2 linked regions of the Cricetulus griseus genome follow. The protein of the gene in region 1 purifies or fractionates together with the protein of each later gene. This does not show direct contact. Links are inferred from orthologs where the notes say so. Each region holds a gene or a part of one and is shown in the gene's direction. Other genes may lie near its edges. The genes, in order: Pkmyt1 and Cks2.

Region 1 (4,404 bases):
AAATGAAAATGTTTTCATTTATCTTTGTAATGCTGGGGATTGAACCTAGGGCTTCACCCATGTTAGGCAAGAAATGTGCCATTCAGCTGACAGCCTAGCCATTTCACTCCCATCCCCATTTCCTTTATGAGACAGGGTTCGAGTTGCAAAAACTCTGCCCCTCCTTGAGACAGGGTATCACTATGTAGCCCTGACTTGCCTGGAACTTCTGATATAGACCAGGGTGGCCTTAAACTCAGAGATCCTCCTGCCTCATTCTCACCAGATTCCCCAATGCAGGGATTTACACATCTGCAACACTCTGCCTAACTCATTTGTTTGATAGACTTTTGAGAAAGGGGTCTTGTTATAGTGCCCAACTAGCTTCCAATTTCTGAGTTCACATGATCTTTTTGCCTCAGCCACCTCTGTGCTTGAGGTATAGGCATGTACCACTGCATTGTTTTGTTGTTTTGTTTGTTTCAATCATTATGAATTAAACTTTGAGGAACAGACAGTTGGAAGGGGATGGGGCCTGTCCAGAAAAAAAAGGGCTGGCAGAAAGTAGCCCTAAAGCTGGGTGTTGGTGGCCTACGCCTTTAGTCCCAACACTTGGGAGGCAGAGGCAGGATGATCTCTGTGAGTTCGAGACCAGCCTGGTCTACAAGAGCTAGTTCCAGGACAGCCTTCAAAGCCACAGAGAAACCCTGTCTCAAAAAAACAAACAAAAACAAACAAAAAGCTGTACCTTTTCCCTTACCCATTATAATTTGCTGTCTTTAATTTTCTAATTATTTATATGTCTTCTGAAATAGTAGCTTTCCTTTACACAAACACTATTTGAAGAGAATTTTATTTAAAATACAAGCAGCATAGGCCCCTGGTTCATCTTTCTTCTCCAGAAGAAGCTTGGGCACAAGGAAGCTCCAGCTTCTTAGAAGAGGCGCTCGCCGTGGCTATCCTGCTGTGACGAGGATCGGCGTCCAAATGTATATAAGATTATGTGTAGCAGGGCACTTGACTTCCTGAGGAAACGCCACTTGGATGCAGGGCCCTGCCTGCCCCTTTTATGGACGCGAGAATTAAGGCAGCCCACAGAGGGCAGCGATTGTGGGAACCAAAATCTGGAGGCTGACAAAAGTCCTGGGGATCTTGAGGGAGTCAAGGAGCGATCCCAGCCGGCGTCCAGGATTAAGAATTTAGCTCCCGGGGCAGCAACACGCCCAGAAGGGTTGCGCCTGCGCAGTGAGGGCGCTCGGCTAGGCTTGGGGGTGGGGAGGCCTCGGTGCGCACGCAGGACGCGAGGCGGAGCCAATGCCGGGGCCCGACGAGCTGCGCCAGGGGGCGGGGCCACGGGCGATCCTGGGCGGGGCCTCGAGGCCGGTTTGGAATTTTTGGCGCGAGCTGGCTCCGCGCGCGTTCACGGGCCGTTCCCCTTCTGAGAGAGTGCTTCGTCCCGGTGTTCAGAGGCGCCGCTGCCGGGACCCCAGCCTGTCTGGCCTCTGTGAGGCCCTCAGCGGCCTCCGCCGACCCGGAACCTGGGACCTCGCTGCTGCGCCGCGCCCCGCCCCGCCCAGCCTCCGCAGGTGAGCCCACACCCGGGTGAGAGGAGGGCTCCGGGCCGCGCCGCTCTTCCGCCCGGCGCCTTGCCCCGCGCTCCTGCCGCGCTGCGCCCCGAGACGGCCCTCCGGCCTCCCCTCAGTGGCCGGTCGCCCTTCTGCAGCAGCCCCACCCCTCCCTGTTTGTCACGGGCCGACTGGCCCTCGGGTGACTCCGGGTCAGCGCTGTCGCCCACGCCCCGCCTACTCCCGCGGGCCGCTCTAGGTGACTGCCCGTCCCTCCCCACTGGAAGTCCTTTCCCCAGCACTACCTCTCTCTTACCTCATCTCTCTGGGAAGAGCCTCTTCCGGGTGGGTGACAGCGGGTCTACGCAATCGTCTCCCCTCGCCCACGGAGCGAATCCAGCAGCAGCAGCAGCAGCGCTGCTCGGGAGGATCTCAAAATCTAGCGCTAGACGGTGGTCAACAAATGTGTCCAGCCCAATGAGAGGGTGAGGCCCCTGGAAACGGGGAGGTCACCCTGACTGGTCAGTGGCTCAGGGCCACTCTGGACTCAGCCAGGACTCTACTGCCAACCCTTCTCATCCCATAAAGGCGGTTTGGCCAAGTCAGAGGTGTTAAAACATAAATGACTTTGAGAGGGGCCGGTCTTCCCGGCTGAAGACAGAAGGTGATGGCTTCCCCTGTGCTAGGCATGGGGACTATTTTTTTTAAGTATTTCTTTTTTTATGTATATTTTTGTCTGCATGTGTATCTGTGCACCATGTTCGTCGTGCCTGGTGCCCACATAAGCCAGAAAAGGGTGTCAGATCCCCTGAGCTGGAGTTACAGATGCTTGTGAGTCACTGTATGAATGTTGGGAATCAGAACTGGGTCCTCTGGAGGGGCAACAAGTGCTCTTAACCTCTGAGCCATCCCTCCCTTCCTTCAAGGCTGCATGTTTAACCAGCATGATCATGGATCCTGACAGTCTGGTTCCTCTAAGAACTATTTATTTATTTATTTATTTATTTGTGGTGGGGACCAAATACAGGGCCCTGACCATGCTAGCTAGGCCGTTAAGCCCAGGCCAGCTCTGGGATGGGATTCTTGAAGTAAATAGAGTTATAGCAAGAGAGCCTTCCAGCCAAGCCTCTTAATTTAAGTCCCTAACCTCACTAGGCTAATCATTCTCCAAGTAATTTGATCTAGCCACTACCCTCAACGAGGTGTGGGAAATTTTGATACATTGTGTTTTCCCCTAAAATTGCTTTCAACTTGTTTTTTGTTTCAAGGATAACATTGTAGCAACCTGATGCTCCTCTTTTCCCAACAGGCACACAATTATTGACACGGTGGTACCACTGTGCTTGAGTCGTTTCAATTACTAACTAAAGCACCGGTTATGATCACAGTTTGCATTTATGCCAGACACCAGTCTTAAATCCTTCAGCTTTTTGTAGGTCAGTGCAGAATTGCAAGTTCACAAACTCGTCATGCCAGGTGTTCTTCATAATTCAAAATATCCCAGATTTAGGGCATGGGGGTTATATTAGTAAGTGTGTTGATATAGCTGTTACCTAACATGAATGATGCCCGGAGCTTCATTCCAAGCACTGCATAAACTGGGTATAATGGTACATGCTTGTGATCCTAGCACACTGGAGATGGTGGTAGAAGGACACAGTTATCCTTGGCTGCACAACAAGTTTGAAGCCTTTAGACCTTGTCTCGGAAAAACTAACTAACTAAATAAATAAATAAATTTAGAAAGCTACTATGGGCTCAGATTTAGAAAGCACAGATGTAGGGACAAGGATGTAGTTCTGGTAGAATGCTTGCCTAACATGTGTTAGGCCTTTGGTTTACTCCCTACTGCCATAAATAAATAATAGCTTTTAAAAAGGCATCATAAGAAAGCATATATTTGTAAGACCACTAGTGAGTCTGCAGCATCCAAGATCAAACACTAATATTTCTGTCAGTGAAAATCAGCTGTGGTGGTTCATGTCAGTAATCCCAGCACTTGCAAGACCGAGGCAGGAGGATTGCTACAAATTCAAGGTCAGTCTGGGCTTCATAGACTTTTTCTCAAAACAAAATAAAATTATAAATACACACACTGAGTGAGAATAGATAGTCAATTTTTTTTTCCTAAATTTTTCATGAAGCTACCCAGTTGTCTCTATTATTTCTTGAAAAGACTTCTTTCCTTTTGGGTTGTTTGGCACTAACTTTGAAAATAATTCCAGCTCTCTGGAGAGTGAGGCAGGAAGTTGTTCAAAGCTAGCTTGGACTACATGATGAGTCCCTGTCTTGGAAAACAAACAAACAAACAAACAAAAACACAAGACAAGGGGGGAAATTTTTCTTTTGAGACAGGGTCACTCTATGTAGCTCTGGCTATCCTGGAACTTGCTATGTAGAACAGGCTGGCTTCAAAATCACAGAGATCCTCTTGCCTCAGCCTCCTGAGTGCTGGGGCTAAAGATGAGTAACACTCTGCCCAACTTCAAAGAAAAATGATTAAACCATAAATTTTGGAATTCTTAATTCTATCCCCTTCATTTTTTTATGAATGAATTGTTTCAATTAACTGTGGATTTGAAGAAACTTTGAAAATCTGGAAGTATAAGTCTTCCAAATTTAGTCCTATATGAGAGTTTGACTTTGGTGGGGTAGGGGGTTTGAACATCCACATGAATTATAGAATCAGCTCTTTCTAGGCTGTTCTCTGAACTCACAGCGATCCACCTGCCTCTGCCTCCCAGAGTGCTGGGATTAAATGTGTATGCCACCACCGACCGGCATGCTCATTGTTTTCTGTAATGAAGCCAGATGGGATTCTGACAGGGATTGTACTGAATCTGCAGACCAATTTGGAGAG
Region 2 (3,521 bases), on another chromosome or scaffold:
TAAAAATCTATGTTGTGGACAGTTGGTGCTTAGAAAGGGTTGTGGATTGAATTGTCCCGTGTTCAAAAATACAGAACTGAATTTGCACTTGCATCTCTGTCTCGAAGACTTACATTGGTCAAAAATTGCTTATTACTTTGTGAACTTACTACCAGAAAGGGTACAATGAGGCTTACAATTAGGGTTTTAGAAAGAGATACTTTGTGATAATTAAACGCTCTATTCAGGTAAGAGTACGGATTTGTTTGTACATATATTTGTTAAAAATTGTATGTATTTGTTTTGGCCCTGAATCAAGGCCAGCAGTTTGCTGGAGCTGTTGGTTTCAAGCAGGAGCCTAAAGAAATGTCTTCCTATGGTCTGTTGGCCATTTCAGAAATTTGGAAATCTAATGGTCAATTCATTAGAAAGAAACAAACTGACTGGATGTTGTATGCAGTTCTGTAATTGTAGTACTAGGGAGCCTGAGTTGAAAACAAGGAATTTGAGGCCAACCTGCTCAACAGGAAGGAGAATGCCCCTCCCCATGAAACAGCTGAGTCATTGGTGATAGATGTGGTGGCTGATAAGTCTTAATAATATTCCAAATATAATACTTCTGCATATACAAGAACTTGCATATACAAGAACTTGTATCTACTGCAGATCTAGTATTTGTGTAACAGAAAACACGTTAACTGTCCGTTCTTCCCACTCCTTTAGTAATCCCAGTTTGGGGTGACTACTTATCCTGGGACTAGGATCCTTTCTTACTCTTTCCTATGTAACTATTATAATTGCCTCTGGCTTTAGCTGCTGTTCTAGCTATCTAGATACCATCAGTCTGTATCCAACAGAAGATGTGGCTACGTTTTTAACTTTGGTGTAATCTTTCTCTTAGAGTATGATTCTCAGTATTTTCTGCCTATATTTTGTGGACCAAGGGTTGTTTCATGACCAAAAGTAGCTGTAGAAGAGGGTGACCGTATTCCTGGAAGATTACTCAAAGGGAAATATTCTGTTAGAAAGTTAACCCTAAAGAATAAAGTGCCTTTCATTTCTGTGCAGCTTACTCTATTGGTCTAATACTTGAACATAAGCCCTCAAAAGCCACAGTATAGTTTATAGGGAATACCCAAGATTGATGCAAATAGTACTGTAATCTAGAGTTGCTTTAAAGAAATCAGCTTGTTTTGAGGACAAACCCTTCAAAATTATAAGTGTCTCAAAGGTACGAATATAAAGTGATAATGGTGGAAAGACATAGCACTAATCTGTGGCTGAATCTTTGACAGGCATGTCATGCTACCCAGAGAACTTTCCAAACAAGTACCAAAAACTCATCTGATGTCTGAAGAGGAGTGGAGGAGACTTGGTGTCCAACAGAGTCTAGGTTGGGTTCATTACATGATTCATGAGCCAGGTAAGCTTTGCTATAAAGTACTAAGTAAATACAGTTGTTAAGAGTCAACTTTTTAAAAACACAAGTATTCGGTGTTAACTAAAAGTAACTGAGAAGCTCAACTAGTTTTGTAAATGAATGATTCCTTACTCCTGAATAATGTTCTGTTTTCTATAGTAATATATAAGAATGACAGTAATACATTATCTACTTGTAAAAGTGACTTAACCAATTTATTCAGCATAAAACAATTGTTTAAATTCTGTGCCTATATAGAAATTGATGCAATTAGATGTGATTTTTTTCTTCCTTTAGCTCTTTTAGAGAATTATTTACCATATTAAGGTCAAATGAGATAGGCATATAAACACAAATTCTCCTGTATCATACATGTCTCTTATGCTAGTATATGGTATCGACCAACATTTTCTAGATATTAAGTAGTAAACTAGACTAAAGCTTTGTGGTGTTTAAGTTCTAGCTTAGAACTATAGATTACTAACTAATGGTGGGCACAAAATTTGAAGACATACTACAAAAACAGATAAAATTAAAGCTCTTTTTGTATTTGTAAAGATAAACAATATTGTTAAACTCTTGAGTCTGTGTTAAAACTTTGAAGGGACTATGACAGATACTTAAGAGTTCGAAGATCCTACTACAAAAAATGGAGGAACTTAACTATAGATTCCCAGCCTTCCTCACACTGAATTGGGAGGTACTGTACGGACTCCTGGTTTAGTTATCTTTATCTTTTTGTATTGAAGCTTCCTACAGAGTCCAAACTTGACTGGAACTCTCCATCCTTAGCTAAGTGTGGGGATTATAGGAATACAGCACAATTCCTTGCTTTCTGGTGGCTTGTTTTGTGTGCTGAGATTGGACCTTTGTACTTTCTAGGCAAACACACCACCATATATACTATATACAGCTATTCTATGCCATATGTGTGTGTCCAACTTTGTGGTGATTTTTTTCTGAAGTGCATTGGCATGATTTTTTTCTGAAGTGCAGTAGCTAGCTAGCTACTTTGAATGAGACTCCCTTTTGCCAAAGAGATAACATTTCTCTTTTCACTGGAAATGAGGTTTTACAGGTAGAAACCATTCTCTCCAGAGTAAGCTAAAGACTTAAAATAGTGGAGAAATGCTATTATGAGATAGTTTGCCTATGTTTAGTGTTTATTATTAATTTTAAAACACTTTAAACAGTGACTGGTTGTTGGCATGAAACTTAATGATGAATATTTCCTTTCCACAGAGCCGCATATTCTTCTCTTTAGACGACCTCTTCCAAAAGAACAACAAAAATGAAGTGCAGCTGGGATCGCTTAATCTTTTTCAAATTTAATGTATATGTGTATATAAGGTAGTATTCAGTGAATACTTGAAAACTGTACAAATCTTTCATCCATACCTGTGCATGAGCTGTATTCTTCACAGCAACAGAGCTCAGTTAATGCAACTGCAAGTAGGTTATTTTAAGTTGTTCGAGATAAATTTCCTTGTAGTTTTTTCTTAATATAAGTAGTGCCTGTTTTACTTTACCTGTTACTTTTGTTAATAAAGTTTGTATGTTGCATTTATCACTATTGTAGAAATTAATTGACTTGACTCAATAATCTTACCCCTGAAAGAAATAAACATACTTGAAAAAGAAATACTAAGGTACAAATGATGGGATTATTGGGGATATTTAACCTAGAGTCAAAATAGACTTTCACTTTATTGATATTCTAACCCTACTTAATACTTACTACTTGTTTGTGTCCACAATGTCTCCAAAACACTAGTGGTTTCAGAGAAAACTGTTTTATTAAGAAGCACTGAAAGCTGGGTGGTGCCTTTAATCCCAACACTCAGAGGCAGAGAGGCGGGTCTCTGGAGTTTGAGGCCAGCCTGGTCTACAAAGTTCCAGGACAGGCCCAAAGCTACAGAGAAACCCTGTCTTGAAAAACCAAAAAAGGAAAAATAAGCACGGAAACACCATATGTATGCATTTGGACTGTCTTTGTCGGCCAGGAAATTAAGTGTAGACACATTAGTGGATTACCATGAGAAATGTATGCATGAATGGCCAGGAACATAAGACCCTGAATAGGCCGGGCAGTGGTGATACACACCTTGAATCTCATCGAGGC

Evidence for each region.
Region 2: the proteins of Pkmyt1 (region 1) and Cks2 purify together in Homo sapiens (affinity purification with mass spectrometry; 3 studies listed by BioGRID and IntAct, counting the BioPlex papers as one, with this or other methods). This does not show direct contact. The link is inferred for Cricetulus griseus from reciprocal best matches to the Homo sapiens genes PKMYT1 and CKS2.

The regions. Positions count from the first base shown.
Region 1 is NC_048600.1:43,243,941-43,248,344, forward strand, and holds the start of Pkmyt1 (membrane-associated tyrosine- and threonine-specific cdc2-inhibitory kinase), read left to right. Parts: upstream 1-1,338; 5' UTR 1,339-1,565; intron 1,566-1,648; exon of another isoform or gene 1,649-2,208; intron 2,209-4,404. UniProt on the Homo sapiens protein: Acts as a negative regulator of entry into mitosis (G2 to M transition) by phosphorylation of the CDK1 kinase specifically when CDK1 is complexed to cyclins. Mediates phosphorylation of CDK1 predominantly on 'Thr-14'. Also involved in Golgi fragmentation.
Region 2 is NC_048596.1:270,595,628-270,599,148, forward strand, and holds the end of Cks2 (cyclin-dependent kinases regulatory subunit 2), read left to right. Parts: intron 1-282; exon of another isoform or gene 283-419; intron 420-1,274; coding exon 1,275-1,402; intron 1,403-2,641; coding exon 2,642-2,694; 3' UTR 2,695-2,967; downstream 2,968-3,521. UniProt on the Homo sapiens protein: Binds to the catalytic subunit of the cyclin dependent kinases and is essential for their biological function.